Linked DNA regions of Astyanax mexicanus. Each later gene encodes a partner of the first gene's protein in a complex. Links are inferred from orthologs where the notes say so. Each region holds a gene or a part of one and is shown on either strand. Other genes may lie near its edges.

Region 1 (7,378 bases):
TTTAAGCTCCTGAGAAAAAACTAATTTTTACTGCATAACAAAAGGATGGATAGCAAATTTAAAACATATTTTTAAATACAGGCTTGATGAGAAGGTGTCTACTGATCTAAATACTAAACCATCTCCAAGAACCCAATACTGCTAACTCGGCAAATAGGTATGCCTTCATACCTGAGGCAGGTGTGTTGAAAGAGAATCCACTTGTTGGTTTCTGAGCAAACAAGCTGCCCCCAAGACCCAGGGAGGAGGTGGTGGTGGTAGTAGCAGCAGCAGGAGTCGAGGTCACTCCTCCCAGACCACCAAAAGCAAAGCCACCAGTGGCTGCAGCAGGGGCACTGTGAGAGGAAAGGTTATACACTGGGTAAGGGGACACTTTATCTAACAATATTAACATTTCCAAAACCAGGCTACCAGGCAAATCATGTCCAAAAGCTGATCTGGGGTATAGATTTACAAATGTTTTATTAAAAGACATTAAAAATCATCCTTGGGATCATATAAACCTTAGTTCATCAAAAAGTTTCTCAATATTATTTTAAGTAAGTCTTCATATTCTCTGGTGATTTCTGTTGCAGCCATAATAAGAGACTGTGTCCTGCATTTTATATTTTAATTAAAATTAACTGTTACTTCCATAATTTAATTCCTTACAGAACAACAAAATCAGGGAAAAACTGAATCAAAGCAACTAATGAGCTCTTGGACTGTGTGGGGTTTGGTTATATATTAAAGAATATATGTTAAAGAATATAAATTCTTTCTTGACTTGTTCTTAAGTGTTAAGTATCATTAATTTTCTCTATTATAAAAACTTGTTAGGGATATATTTTGTGAAGCTAGCTCCTGACTACTTTAAGATTCTGATTTTTTTTTGTATTGTTGCAACTTAGCGATTAACACTACAAAACTGGATTTTGCATATGCAAAATATTTCAGAAATTTTATTTAAATTAAAAATGAATCTTTTAGCCAAATTATTTTTTTTGCTTTAGACAACCTCTGAGATCATAGGAACCCTATGAACTGTGGATATAGCTGAGATGACTGTTGCATAAAGATCAATATTGTTGCTGTCTTAAGTAAAACATGCATCTCCAAAACAGCAATTTTACTGGAGACATATAAAACTTTCAATGGCAGTCTATGTAAAAAAAAGTTTATTTCAGGTAACTTTGGAGACTTACTATTGGTCCATTCCTCAAGAAATGTGTCAATTTGTGTGATCAAATTATGCAGTAAACAAAAATGGTGATACCTGTTTATTTTGTTACAGCTTCTAAACAGATTGCATGATGAGTTTATTGTCTGTGTTTTCATATGTAAAGATTATTTTAAAACTGTTACTACATTTTATCTGGGTTTACTCTTTGTATTCACTGTTTCAACAGCTCTCTTTCAATCATTTTAACAATTTAAACACTTTAATTAAATGTTTTACAATGCATATAAGTAATTCTGACGTAGCTGATAGAAATCTTTTAAAAAATTATTGCTGCATTCTTTATGGTACATCAAGATTTTAACCTGAAAATATAACAAAAAACGTAGGTCACCTGAGATAAGTACATTTAATTATAATCTTGCAAAATTTAAAGATATAGATCCAAACTGTTCATTTTCAAAAATAGAACATTTATTTTTCAATGTTTTTATTCAGAATATTTTTGGATAGCTCTAGCTAAATATTTTTCTAATAAAGTAAAATATACAGGGTACATATAAAACGTTATATGATAATTATATGAAAATGATATTTTTGTTTTTAACTGTAAGGTCTCTACTGTCAACGTTACTTTGAATCTAATGCTGAATTTGTTTACTGAGTCTCTTAACTGCCTTAGTAACAAAAAAGCTGTGTCCACTATAAAGTACATGAATGAGTTAAATTTGCTGGTTGATGAATGAGATGTGTTGTCATTATGAATGTTTTGTTTGACTTGTAAAACGTGCTGGTTGTATGGTTTAATTGTCTTGGATGGCTGTGTGTGCGCATTATGTTTTGTGGAAATTAATAAAAAAAATAATGCGTCATGTGTTCAAAACGAGAAACATAATACATGAGCTGCTCACTGAATTTATCTGATTCAGTTTTAAATTTGCTATCAATATTCAGAAATGAGTCTGGGCTCTTATGGGATATGGCTGATATTTTTGTTGCTTTCTGGTGTCCGACTGTTAACCTAACCATCTTGATTATGTCGAGAAAACGCCTGAATTAGCCATTATTATAACTAGATTGGGTTTATTAAAATCCAATAATAACATATGTGTTCAAATAACCTAGCTTATGTTAACAGTTACTCATTTAAGATTAGCCACACTTTAGGTGAGAGGAGCTACTAACTAACTTAGCGTTAGCTAAGCTAACTAGCTAGTTAACGGTATTAAAACCACAGTAGCTGGCAATAGTTGAGTATTATAGCGTTATCTGTTATATAAAGAAAAACTATTATTCTCTGCTTGTTGAAGTAACGTTAGTTGATGAACGACGCTGTTGCACTAGTTTCCGTTTAGCCCAAGTTGCTAGCTAAGCTAACGAGCCTAAGCGTTAGCTCAGTATTGCTAAAGTAACGTTAACAACATCCTCTATCGTCTCACCTGGTCGCAGCTCCAAATGAAAAGCCCCCGCCAGTGTTTGTGGATCCTAGAGTGCTTGTTCCAAAGTTAAAGCCCGACATTTTCGGTCTGTGCTTGTTTTACCTTAACAGTCTTTTTAAAAATACAAGCAGGACCGAGGCGCTAACCGGCTAACGCTCAGCTAGCTCTGCAGCACTCCGACCTCGTGGAGGCTTAAAAGGCTAAAAACACAGCCCACCATCTCAGAGAGCTTATAAAGCAAACTCCAACACAGGCCAGAGATACTGAACAGCACACTGAAACTACAGCTAGCTACATTCACCGCCCCGCAACATGCACGGGTTCAGCTTTACTCCTGACAGTCTGTTAAAAAATCAAACTTCTTTCCGCGCTCGAAGCTTCTTCTTCTCCTCGGTAGTAGCGATGCTCGATTCGTGACAGAATCGGTTCACTTGAATCGGTTAACAATAAACTGAACTTTTTTTCTTCATACACCTAAAGCTTTGCAAGATATATAGGTATACTATATTGTTTATCCCTCTGTTTGAGCGGTTTGTATTTAATATATCTGAAAGGATAATTTTTAGCATTCATATTTCATGATTTAAACAAGGAGAATATGGTAAACATAAATAAATAAATTATTTAATAAATGAATGAATAGGTAAATAAAAAAGCATACAAACCTTAACCTGTTTTAGAGATAAAAATATTAATATTTTACACATTTGTAAAATAGAGATATGTAAGTGTATAATATTTTTAAAAAAAATGGAAGTATGAATGGCTGCGGTCAAATTAAGACCAATAATTTGAGGGTAACAGGAGGATTATTTGTAATGAAATTGAAATACCACACTTTAAAACATTTTCTCTGTACACACATTTATAGTGGTCTTTTTCTTAATCTCTTTAAAGGGTTGTGTATTCCAGTCCTGAAATAAATTCAGGTTTTTAAAATTCAAGTATTGACATTTCAGTGTGAATCAGAATCACTTGTTAAATAATAAAAAATAAGCAAGAATAAATAAGGTTTAAGTCGATTTATAGATGCAAGTACTGCTAATGAAAGTTACTTTGAATCTTTGGAAGTTTAATTGTATGATGATATGCTATATATGACACAGAAACAATGGAGTTTTCCTGTGAATCGGTTCAATGAACTGAATCAAACTAGCTATTGACATCACTCCAAGCAGAAGCTCGCTCCCTGCTGGGCTGGAGGAAAGGTTCAGGGCTTCAAGTGAAAGTAAGAGCCATACACAAGTTAAAATTGAAGAAGGAATAGACACAGAATATTCTTAACTAATATTTAACTAATATGTGTACTTAATGGCAGAGTGGTGTTTTAGTTCTAGTTCTGTGTGAGAGAAACACACCACTGCTACACTAGACCTTGGGCTAGACCCCTAATTCAGCTACAACAAAATAGTTAAAGCCAGACCTTATCAGTCAAGTACTGTTTTTAAAATGCTTGCAAGGCAATGCAATGTATTGATATCTGTTGGTAAATAGTAGAGTTAATCTTTTTTCTAACTTGTGACTTTTTATTTTATATTGGAACTGTGTCCTTTGGGACATGTGTATCTAGCTGTAATTATAACTACATATTATAAAATGCAAATATTTTGGAAACAAATTCACTGTTTTCTGTGTTAATCATGATGACAAATCTGAGGTCCTTGCACAAAGACAATGTAGGATAGTTTTTATAGCTTTAATACTAATAAACAATAAAAACCTAAACTCTAGTGATTGGCACCACAAGGGTTCAAACGAAGTGTTGAAGTGTTAAATGTTAATTAAAAAAAATATGTTTTTATCTCTCTATGAAATGCAACTACAATATATATATATATATATATATATATATATATATATATATATATATATATATATATATATATATATATATATATATAAATATATCCATCCTTCCATCCATCCATCCACCCACCCATCTAAATATCTATATCAATCACCTTCTACTCAGTTTTCTAATTTATTGCACATAATTCAGTCACAATCATTGCAATTTATGGCATTATTACTCCTTCAAAAAATAAAACTGATCCTGTCCAAATGAAAGTAATAAGTAAAAGTAAAAGTTAAATAAGCTAACACTTTGTGTTCAGTAAATTAAATTAAATAAATTACTGCAAAAATCTTTTTTTTATTTAACGTGTCATTTCAATTACTTTGTGACTAGTTTTCTTGTTTTAATCCCTCAATAGTGATTTAATCAGTGGCTTCACCCACTCCTACCAGCAGCGGCGAAGCGGACTACAACTCCCGCCATGCCTTGGTGTGTTTTCGCCGTACGTGGCGGAGACACGCCCCGAAGAGGAAGTTGCAGGTCAGAAAGCAGAAACAGGAGGGTGATCAACATTAGGATCAGTGAGCGGAGAGGATGGTGAACTGGGTGTGAGAGATTTTGCACCAGGCAGCTTTTTATTGCTTATTTTTTCATGTGTGAGCTGTCACCCGCTCACAGCCCGCTTCTGCTTTCCTGCTCGATCGCTGAGCACAGCGCTGCTGCAGCGGCCTTATGGAGCACATCCGAACACCAAAGGTAATCAGTGGAGCTGCGAGGCGTCGAGATTAAACTAGTATCTATATAACTAACCCAGAGCCTCTCTGACTGATTCTACCACTGTTACCATCGCGATTAAAGTACATACTTTATCATCAGAGCTTTTCTCAACAGTCTTTACACCAGGCCTGGCTCTGGGCTGCAGTGTTGTGCTCTTTACAGCGCTGTACCGGCCGGGGGGTAACAACCGCTGGGTGTTTTGAATTAGATCTCTGGGTGATGGTGATGATTGATTGTGATTGTGGTGTAATTAGACGTTTCAAAACGCTTAAAGCTAACTCAGTCTTAAAATCAGTTACTATGGTGTCTTAACACTCAAAGATAGCAAATAACATTGAATAAACAATGAATTATGGTTGCATTAGCTAACTTACGTCTTAAAAAAAACAACAACCATAATTTAGCTTTGGGAGGTAGTATGGAAGTTCTAAAACTGGATCAGAAAGGCTTTTAATGATTGTTTTACGTGAAAGGTGCTCTCCAACAAAAAATACAATAATAAGAGTAACACCAGTAGTAATAATAATAATAATAATAATAATAATAATAATAATAATTATAACAAAAGTAGTATTAAAACATTTTTTTACGGACTGAAAATGCAGACTCAATAATATGCTCTCAATCAAACTCAATAATAAGGCTAAAAAACTATGCAATATTTGTAGCCTATAGTCTTTATTAATAAAAAAAGGAAATAATATATTAATATAATAAATTAATTCTGACATCAGAGATTTATGCTGATTAATGCTGGGAGTTCTGTCTTTGTGTGTTGAGAACTAGTAGAGTAACTCTACTTTCTGAGGTTAACAATTTAGCAAAACTGGCTAACATTACCAAGCTGTATTTGTGTAAGTTGCACTAAAATAGACATTTTTCTTTTTAAGAAAACTTGAGATTAATGCGCGGACAATGGATGAGCCAGCTCCATATGAGAAGTTTCTGTTTAAAGTGGGCCAGACGGCCTTAGCGTTTCTTTGCTGAGGTTTGCAGGTTTCTGCATAACCAGCGGTTAGTTATTTATAGTTTTTTCCCCTTAGTCTTGCATGGAGGTTTTTAGACATGTCTTGGATTGGGAACATCCACTTTTTGTTTGTCAGTGTTTGGTGGGCTGCACCTGTATTCAGCTTTTGGGTTAGCCTTTATCTTTGTGGATACTGTTAGTCTGAATGCAATGACATGCCAATAGTCACTGGAACACAGGAACTAGGATTGTGTCTCTTGATTTTTACCATGTCTCCTTCATTAAGTGTAAATGTGATTTCTGCCAGAGTCACTCTAGTCAGATACTACTGGCCCCAATCATTGCCACCTACTGTTCTTACTACTATGAGAAGTAATGCCTTGTAGAGTGTATTTGATGTGACACTGTGCATCTGACTTTACTAATGCTGTTGTGCAAACAAAGTGCATTAATTAGTGTTGAGCAGAGGCTGCTATACTACGGAAAAGGGTGCAAATGGGTCTGTTAATACCATTGATTTTATAAAATACATTTCAAAAGCAGGTGTCTACAAAAACTTTTTAACTGTTTAACAAATTAAGCATAGTTAGTTTAGCATAGTATGCTTTCTATAGGCCGTTATAGCACAGATAGATATATAGATATGACTACATTCTACATTTTTCTCTCTATTGCTCTGACAACATATCGTCATTGTTGGCAATCTCAGACCAATAATATCTTTTTCAGTTCTTGGTTGGTCAGTTGATCATTCCATTGCCCTGATAAGTGATGACTGCCCTTAGACAGGCTGCAGACCAACTGCCTGGCCTAAATGTCAATTCTCAGTCTTGCCAATAACATGGATAGTATTTCTTCATGGTGTCCAGTGGTCTGCTTGTGCTTCTTAATGGCTTGTTGATGATTATTTAAATCCCATTTGTTCACATAATCACTGGCCATCCTTTTGCTTTTTCACTATTGACTGTTTTAAGCATAGTGATCTTGCTGTGAGTTAGGCTTTAACTCACAATGTGTCCAAAATAAGAGCTTTGGCTTGTTTGTCTGGGCTTCAAATTATGGGTGAAGATTGTTTTGGTCAAGAAACTATTTGTTTCTTTTTTTGCCATCATGCAATGTGCTCAAAAGTCAAGCCAACAACAGGATTCAAAGACATCAATGTTTTAGTAGTTCTGCTCTTTTTATTGTCCATCTTTCACATCCATTAAAAACCCTCAGAAAAGACCACAGAACTGGACTGG
Region 2 (7,764 bases), on another chromosome or scaffold:
CACTGTAGAGTTACAAGTTCCCTAAAGTGTAAACACATCTGGTGTTTTTTATACTATTTATATCCATATCAGAATTATACTGTATAACCTGAAATTAAGAAATATACATCCATTAGTTCTGTGTGTACTATCCAGAACTAATGGGAATTTACTAACAATTTTCAATCATATTTAAAATACAATAAGCCTTCCTGTGCATGTTCCATCTTCTAAAACACTGAAAATGGGAAATATGAACTTTTTTTCTCAGTCTGTTATTGTAGTTTAGCTTGTATCACAACATGCATTAATTAAATAAAGTGAAACCATAATTTATTGACATATCAACAAACCTGTGGTTGTCGAGCCGAAGCCAAACCCCGTGGGTGCAGCTGTTGTAGTGGGGACTCCAAAAGCTGGGGCTGTTAAACATAAAGCAATAAAAAAAAAGGTAAAAAATAAAAATTAATTGTTCATATCTGTAGAATTTCACACAGGCCTACTCTGCTCTTACATCGTCCTTAATCCTTGTTAGTCCAGAGCAAACTGGGTTAAAACTGTACAACTTTAACAATGCGTGTCCAGGTATGGCGCAGGTTCCCAGACAGGGATTAAAGCCTAGCCTGTGTGGTACAGCATTTTAAATGGAGATTTTTCCATTGAAGGTAAAAAATGATCTACTGATAGGGCTGTAATGATGTATTGTGATAGAAAAAAGTGCATCCTGAGAACAGACGATTCCATGTTCTGTTACTATTAAATCTCACGAGGTTAAATTGTTTGAACACAAGAGGACAGAATTCCAGTGGGCATAAGCAAAGGGTGGAGGACATGTCAATCATTTTAGAATGAAGCCAATCACACAACTGCATTTAGATAACTTTTTAAAACTGATCAGTTTAGACATCTTACACACTGATACTTTTACTCTAGATCACTTAAAAAATAAGAGCTTAAATTAAGCAATTAAACAGCATAATAGTACTAAACAGAAATAGTACTTGTAACACTTAATGATAAATATGTATAAATGGAGCATTATATAAAGTGCATTTGCTGTTGTTTATACAGTTATGAAGAAATTAGTGCACCATTACACCCCTATTGTTTCCACTTGAGAAAATATGTATAATTTTCTTAATTCAGATTTGTTTAAATTATCGTGTGAAAATGGAAATCATGGATTTAAACCCAATCGTGTATTGTTAGACTCCTAATTACTAGGCTTCATCATCCCTGTTTGAGAATCTGAAATATAGTTTCTTTAGAACCCTTATTAAACGTAATGAACTTTGGACAGTGTGGGAAATGAGATTAAATGGGTTACAGTAGAATGATAATGTAAATGATAATGGTTAATAGTATGAATGTGGACAGATGAACTTACTACCAAATCCAGATGAAGCGGTAGTGTTGGTAGTAGTACCAAAGCCAAACGCTGTTGGCGCTGTCGTTTTGGCACCGAATGAACCGAATGAAAACCCTGAAGAGCCTTTATTAACAACAAACAAGACATCAGTGACCACAAGTGCATGAAGAAGCGTGAGGAGGATGGAGGTCTGGGTCTCCTCAGGCGTTTCAGTGAAGCCATGCTGATCAGAAACAGAGCGATGGGTGATACACAAGATCTGAACCGGCCAAACAGCAGAGATACAGTAAAATCACCAGAGCTGAAGCACAATCCATTAGTGTACACGTCTGAAATAACAGTTATATCAGTTATATCAGAGATGATACACGGCTTGATTGATTGATTGACTGATTGATTATGGAAATAGTGGCAGCCCTGAACAGAGGTGAACAGAATGAGGGCTGAGGTTGGTATTGGGTTGAAACGACACAAAAATAGAGAGAGAGACAAGTATAGAGAAAGAGAAAGAGAGAAAGACAAGTTGAGAGAGAAACAGAAGTAGAGAGAGACAAGCAGCGATATCAGAGAGAGAGAGAGAGAACTAGAGACAGTGACAGGTAAAAAGAGAAATGAGAGAAGTAGATAAAGAGACAAGTAGAGAGAAAAAGAAAAACAGGGAGAAGTGTAGAGAGAGAGAGAAAAAGAAAAGAAAGTGACAAGCAGAGAGAAAGAGAGACAAAGAGAAAGATCAATGAAGTGAGAGAAAAGTAGAGAGAAAAGTAAAGAGAAAAAAAGAGAGATATAAATAAAGAGAAAGAGAGACAGGTAGAGAGAAACAGAAAGAGAGAGTGACAAGTAGAGAGAGTAGAGAGAGAACTAGAGACAGTCACAAGTAGAAAGAAAAATAGAAAAAGAGAGGTGTAGAGAAAGAAAGAAAAAGAGTGTGACAAGCAGAGAAAGAGAAATAGAGAAAGATCAATGGAGAGAGAGAAACGTATAGAGAAAAGAAAGAGACTGAGCTATCAATGAAGAGAAAAAGAGAGAAGTAGAGACAGTGACAAGAGAAAGAGATAGAGAGAAGTCAGGAGAGAGACAAATAGATAGAAAAAGAGAAAAACAGAAGAGCAGAGTGACAAGCACAGAGAAAGAGAGAAATAGAGGAAGATCAATGGAGAGCCACCTTAAATTGACTGCTTTCAAAAATATCACAATATGGATGTTTTTTATCGTGTCAGCATTTTGGCGATATTATTACTCTCTGTAATTTACAGTAATGTACTGTAATAAGGTTAAAGCAGAGCGGAAAATTAACCCACCCATCTCACACATACACACTGAATTGTCTCTATCCCTATCAGCAACATTTGCTGTTTCATTTTTTACAACTATAAAGTCTATAAACTGCTGTGATCATGTAACGTTATGTTCTATATGTTACAGTAACGTTATGTTACATATCTTTGCACCTTATCCTTACTATACACATTTCATTGTACCGTATCATTTCATTGCACTGTCCTGTCTGTTAAACTGTCTCTAGTGTGCTGTATTTATTGTATTTATTTGTATATATTTGTATAATAATAATAATAATAATAATAATAAAGCCTTGTTGACTGGAATGTTGATGTTAGCCTGTTAGCTAACCCTACCGCTGCTCTGTGTTTATTACAGCTGCAGGAGCCCCGCGCCGCTCTATCTGACTCTGAGCGGGTTTAGTACAGGGATGTAACTGATAGAAGCTGATTTTACAGCCAGTTTTTAATATAAATATATTTATATAAACTCACCCGCGCTGCTCGAGCCGCCGCCAAAGTTGAACGCCATGCTGCTCCGTCCTGCTGTGTCCGGGCAGAAACTCGCACAGCACAATATTTAGTTCCGGCTAGAGCGATACAGATGTATATTTATTTGTATATGTATTTTTATCCTGGTTTCAGAGAACTTACAGATTTTAAAATACGATTTGACAAGGTACCGCAAATTCTACACAACACCGCTTGTTGGACTATTGATTTTTGTTACAGTCTGGTGAAAATCTCGATTAGAAGTGTTCCATTTATCATATTGTATGCAATAATATTGCCAAATGAATATAATAATATATGTATCTATAGTTGACGGTATCACCCATCTATCTATCTATCTACAAATCTGTAAAATCTAACATTAAACAACAGTTTTCCTGCAACATTTAAATTGAATATTAAAAAGAAACATACACAAATAATATTTATTATAATTAAAATATATGCTTAATTGTTTATTTTTCATTGGAAACCTAATTTACTTTAAATGTTAATTTCTATAAACGTGTTTAGTCATTGTATTTAATGTAGAGAGCGCCCCCTGCTGGTTTTTGATGGTCAGTGTAATAATAAAACTGTTCACCCAACGCTGCTAGACTAGTATATTTATTAACCAGCATCTGCCACACTTTAGTTTAATAGACCAAGCATTTCACCAAGCTGGTCAGACTTTTGGCTTAAAGCATAGGCCTGTTCGTTTAAAAGTGAACTGAGGCAAATTTCCCAAATCAGAATTAATATTTTTATAGTAGTAGTAAAGTAATGTTTCAGTGATCATCTAATAGTCAGTTCTGTAGATATGTATGCAAAAATGTCTAGAAGAAATGCATAAAGGTCATTAAAGCAATTACAGGTCTAATAACTGCTAATCTGACTTTAAGGACATATACAGTAAACTCACAGCTAGATGTTCTGATGGGTGGCGTAAGGTATAATATACTTTTAAAAACACAATAATGATTTATAATTAGTTTATATTCAAAGATTCCACTGTTCTGATTGGATAAAATGAAAATGTTCCTTTAATTGAGACGTTAGAAATATTTCATACTGTGAAGTTTCCTCAAATTTGATTTAAACAATAATAACATACTGTCTTGCTTACAGTAATCTTTTTTCTATGGAACATGTCATTATATCTAACAAATATAATTTATATGCAACACATACAATTTGTTAATTTTACAATATATAGATTTTCAATTTACAGAGGGCAATTATTAATATAATGTCATGTTGGATTAATGACTTGAGAGTAAACCTGCATCCAAGCAACCACCTGGCAACATCTTAGCAACGTCCACAAACACCATAGCAATGAGTACAGATACTATAGTAACACCCTAGCAACCACATTAGTGACCAGCGAGAGAGATTTTAGCTGCATATCCATCCTGATTTTCCTTCAGGTAATGCAATTTTTAGTTTTGTATTGAGATTTCTCCCATATAAACAAACTTACAGACATAAATTCAGACAATCAGGGTCAGAGTTTAATCGTGTTATTACAAACTCAACAAAATAAGCAAAAAACAAACAAAAAAACACTGGAATTTGTATATTTGTATTTATCCAAAGTACAAAACAGTCGGTACACAGAATGAGAAAATTCATCTCATACAATAACCATAGAAATCTACAGAAGCAGTTATCTCTCACATAATAAATCAGTCCCAGAGTATTCCACAGCCCGCTGTTCCTAAACCACGCCCACTTTAACATCGCAGAATAAAGTGAGGGTTTAAAAACGAGGCCAGGCTTCATCTGAACCCGTGCTCTGATCCTGCTGAGGTTCACAGCAGACCTTTACGCTTCATCACGTTCTTCCTCTTCAGCTCCATCAGCTTCTGCTTCTTCTTCTTGTTGATGTTCTGCACCGGCGGCTCGTTCTCCACCATCTCCGGCTTCTCCTCAGCCGGGGTCACGAACACGTCGTCCGTCACGTCCTCCGTCAGCACCTCCTTCACCTCCCTCCTCTTCTCCAGCCGGATCTCCTTCACCATCTGACGCTCCTTCTGCTTAGCTGCTTTGGCCATTCTGACCATGCGGCGGTACTGAAGAATAAAATCAGAAAGAGGGGAGGGGTTAGTCTGGATGAGTAGTGCAGACAAGACAGACAAGTAAAGGTCAATATAGTGTAACTGGATTTAACTCAGTTTGCAGCATTTAAAGTATTTAAAGAAAGAGATTTTTTAAAAATCATTATAATGAAGGAGCTACAGAAGGTTTATTGAGTGATGTTTTTGCTGTGTAAAGAACCAAGCTAATACCCAGACTGGAAGGTGAAGTGCAGTAGTGCAGCTTACCGAGTTCGGGGACTGGAAATGAGGGTTTTCGTAAAGCGTCGGGCCTCCAAAGCTGCCCTGAAATATTTTAATTAGATTGAGGACGAAGCGAGGTCCAATCTCCACCAGAGACGCGTCTTCTTCTATAATCTATTCAAGATAAAAAAAACACACAGTTTATAGTAACAGTAAAACTGAACAGAGGAGTTTAATAATATATCAAATACAGCAGCGTATGAGTGTAATAAAAAACCTGATATATCAAAATATAATTTTGCAATAATGTCTCAAAACCACACACAAATATCATATCAAAAAATATTTTTAGTGTTTTGTTTGTTCTATGATTCTCAACCAGAGCCATATTTATTTATAAAAGGAATAATAGCAACTGAAATAAAGTGAAAAAAGCTATTTATACCCAACAATGGCATTTCTTTGATAATAAACAAATAATAAATTAAATAAAGCCAAATGTATAAATATTTTAATTATTGAAATGTTCGTTTCTATTTACAACAGATGAATATTTACCTGGTAGTTACGGAACCATATCCTGTTGTCTGCAATTGTAAAAGTAAACACGTGGTCCACGAACGGCTGGCTCTTCGGATGGTAGTGAGGCGTTGAAAAAGTCTGCAGTGGAAAAAACAATGTTAATTTAATGCAATAATATAATAATTTTAAAATTCAGAGTTTCACACAGTGACAAATAAGACTACACACTGAAAGAGGAGGAATACCTGTGTGAAGAGCTCCTTCAAAAGGGCATATTGAGGCTCCTTATCAAATTTCTGTAAAGAGAAACAATTTTAATATCAATAATAATAAGTCTCATCCAGCTCAGATAGGGCATGAAGCTAGACACGTATGTATAAATGTACTGATGATAATATTTCGTTCTGTACCGGGTCAAATGACAGCAGTGGTCTGGATCCTTTCAGGCAGTTTCCGGTCATTTTCAGCTCGGCGAGTGTGTGCACTGAAACAGAGCAGCGTGGGAAATCATACAGCGGCTATAAACTGTAACAGTGGGTAAAACTACTCACACAAAACAGAAACAGGCAAAAACATTCAGAAAAAACTGATCAGACCTACCGTTCTGAACCAGGAATTTAGCTGAAGGTCCGTGAGGAACATTAGACACCCTACAACAGAAAATCAGCAGCAGTGAGATTATTTAATCTGTTTATAGACAATGATTTAAGGCTGGTTAACATGAACGTTAATCCAGAAAACCACCGCCGAGCCATACACTGCTTTCCCCCACGCTTCATTTTCCACCAAACTGTTCAAAACAACTACACGTTAAAGCAGCTATTCTTTGAAGCAGCTATTGTTTATTTAGTATATTTCCTCCATTAAAGCTCCCAGTTAATCTCCGTACAACTTAGTATATTAGAGATAGAGATAGAGAAATTATAATACAAAAAAAATAATTAAACAATGTATATACATGTTAAATCTAACATAATATTACTATTTATACAAGGTATTGGTATTAATTATTTTTTAAATTGAAATAAGTATGCTTTTTTCAAGTACATAGAATGAGTTTAAAAGACCCTTATCAGGATTTATTATGGATCATTACATGCAATGAGAAAAAAAATTCATCCTGCATAGAGCAAAAAGATGCATCAAGATAATCGTTTTATAATCACATCACAGACTCTCGTAAGGTGCCTAGAGATTCCTACCCTTAATAAATAAATGCTAATATTACTTATTTAAATGTAGATTTAGCTATGAAATATGTATACTATGAAAAAACAGAATAATAGACTTTTGGTCACCAACTGTGGGTTCATAAAAAAGCTGTTTTTGGAAAACAGGTAAACAGATGAAGACTCACCACATGTACAGATCCATGTTCTTCTTGGCCTCAAAGAAAACACACTTGTTGCAGTTTTTTATTTCACAAACCTGCAGCAAACAAACAATATATTTTAATAATAATTTCATCACTGGACTGAATCAAGCTGAACTATTGAACCATTCCAATATAAAAATCTCACCTCATTAACAACAAACAGCTTATCTTTCCGGTCCATTTTTGTATCTGCAGATGAAGAAACAAATGAGATAAATATTCACACAACCTGCAGAAATGCATGATCCACCCACCCCCATGTTAAACAGTTGGAGAGGTGTTCTTTTTTTTATTTTTTATTTCTCTACCATTTCTTCTCCAAGCCTTAGTGGCTGTCAGGTGGGGACAAATACAGTTATTGTTAGTGGGGTGAATGCTCGACAGTTACCTGCTTTTGAGTGAGGCATCATAGTCCTCAGGTCCTGCATGAGGTGCCTTGTTCTAAAGTTGATTCCTCGTGAGGAGAAA

What was found.
Region 2: the proteins of nup58 (region 1) and nup54 are in contact, whole or in part, in a crystal structure (PDB 4JO7), measured with the Homo sapiens proteins. The link is inferred for Astyanax mexicanus from reciprocal best matches to the Homo sapiens genes NUP58 and NUP54. Residues at the interface, in NP_054808.1 of Homo sapiens: Pro342, Tyr345, Phe346, Leu349, Val350, Phe353, Gln356, Leu357, Tyr360, Gln363, Ile364, Leu367, Leu371, Gln374, Ser378, Ile392, Tyr393, Phe396, Leu399, Ala400, Leu403, Ile406, His407, Val410, Lys414, Tyr417, Tyr420, Arg421; in NP_059122.2 of Homo sapiens: Tyr453, Leu459, Glu462, His466, Leu467, Gln469, Gln470, Gln471, Gly473, Leu474, His476, Leu477, Ile478, Ile480, Ile481, Asp484, Leu485, Ile488, Lys489, Leu490, Val491.

The regions. Positions count from the first base shown.
Region 1 is NC_064408.1:99,531,552-99,538,929, forward strand, and holds the start of nup58 (nucleoporin p58/p45), read right to left. Parts: upstream 3,008-7,378; 5' UTR 2,679-3,007; coding exon 2,599-2,678; intron 336-2,598; coding exon 172-335; intron 1-171. Other genes in the region: mtmr6 (myotubularin-related protein 6), read left to right, coding at 5,126-5,149. UniProt on the Homo sapiens protein: Component of the nuclear pore complex, a complex required for the trafficking across the nuclear membrane.
Region 2 is NC_064424.1:47,543,175-47,550,938, reverse strand, and holds the start of nup54 (nucleoporin p54), read right to left. Parts: upstream 3,193-7,764; 5' UTR 3,158-3,192; coding exon 3,121-3,157; intron 1,472-3,120; coding exon 1,367-1,471; intron 402-1,366; coding exon 333-401; intron 1-332. Other genes in the region: bxdc2 (ribosome biogenesis protein BRX1 homolog), read right to left, coding at 4,932-5,192, 5,445-5,573, 5,958-6,059, 6,167-6,217, 6,332-6,405, 6,522-6,571, 7,279-7,349, 7,442-7,485 and 1 more. UniProt on the Homo sapiens protein: Component of the nuclear pore complex, a complex required for the trafficking across the nuclear membrane.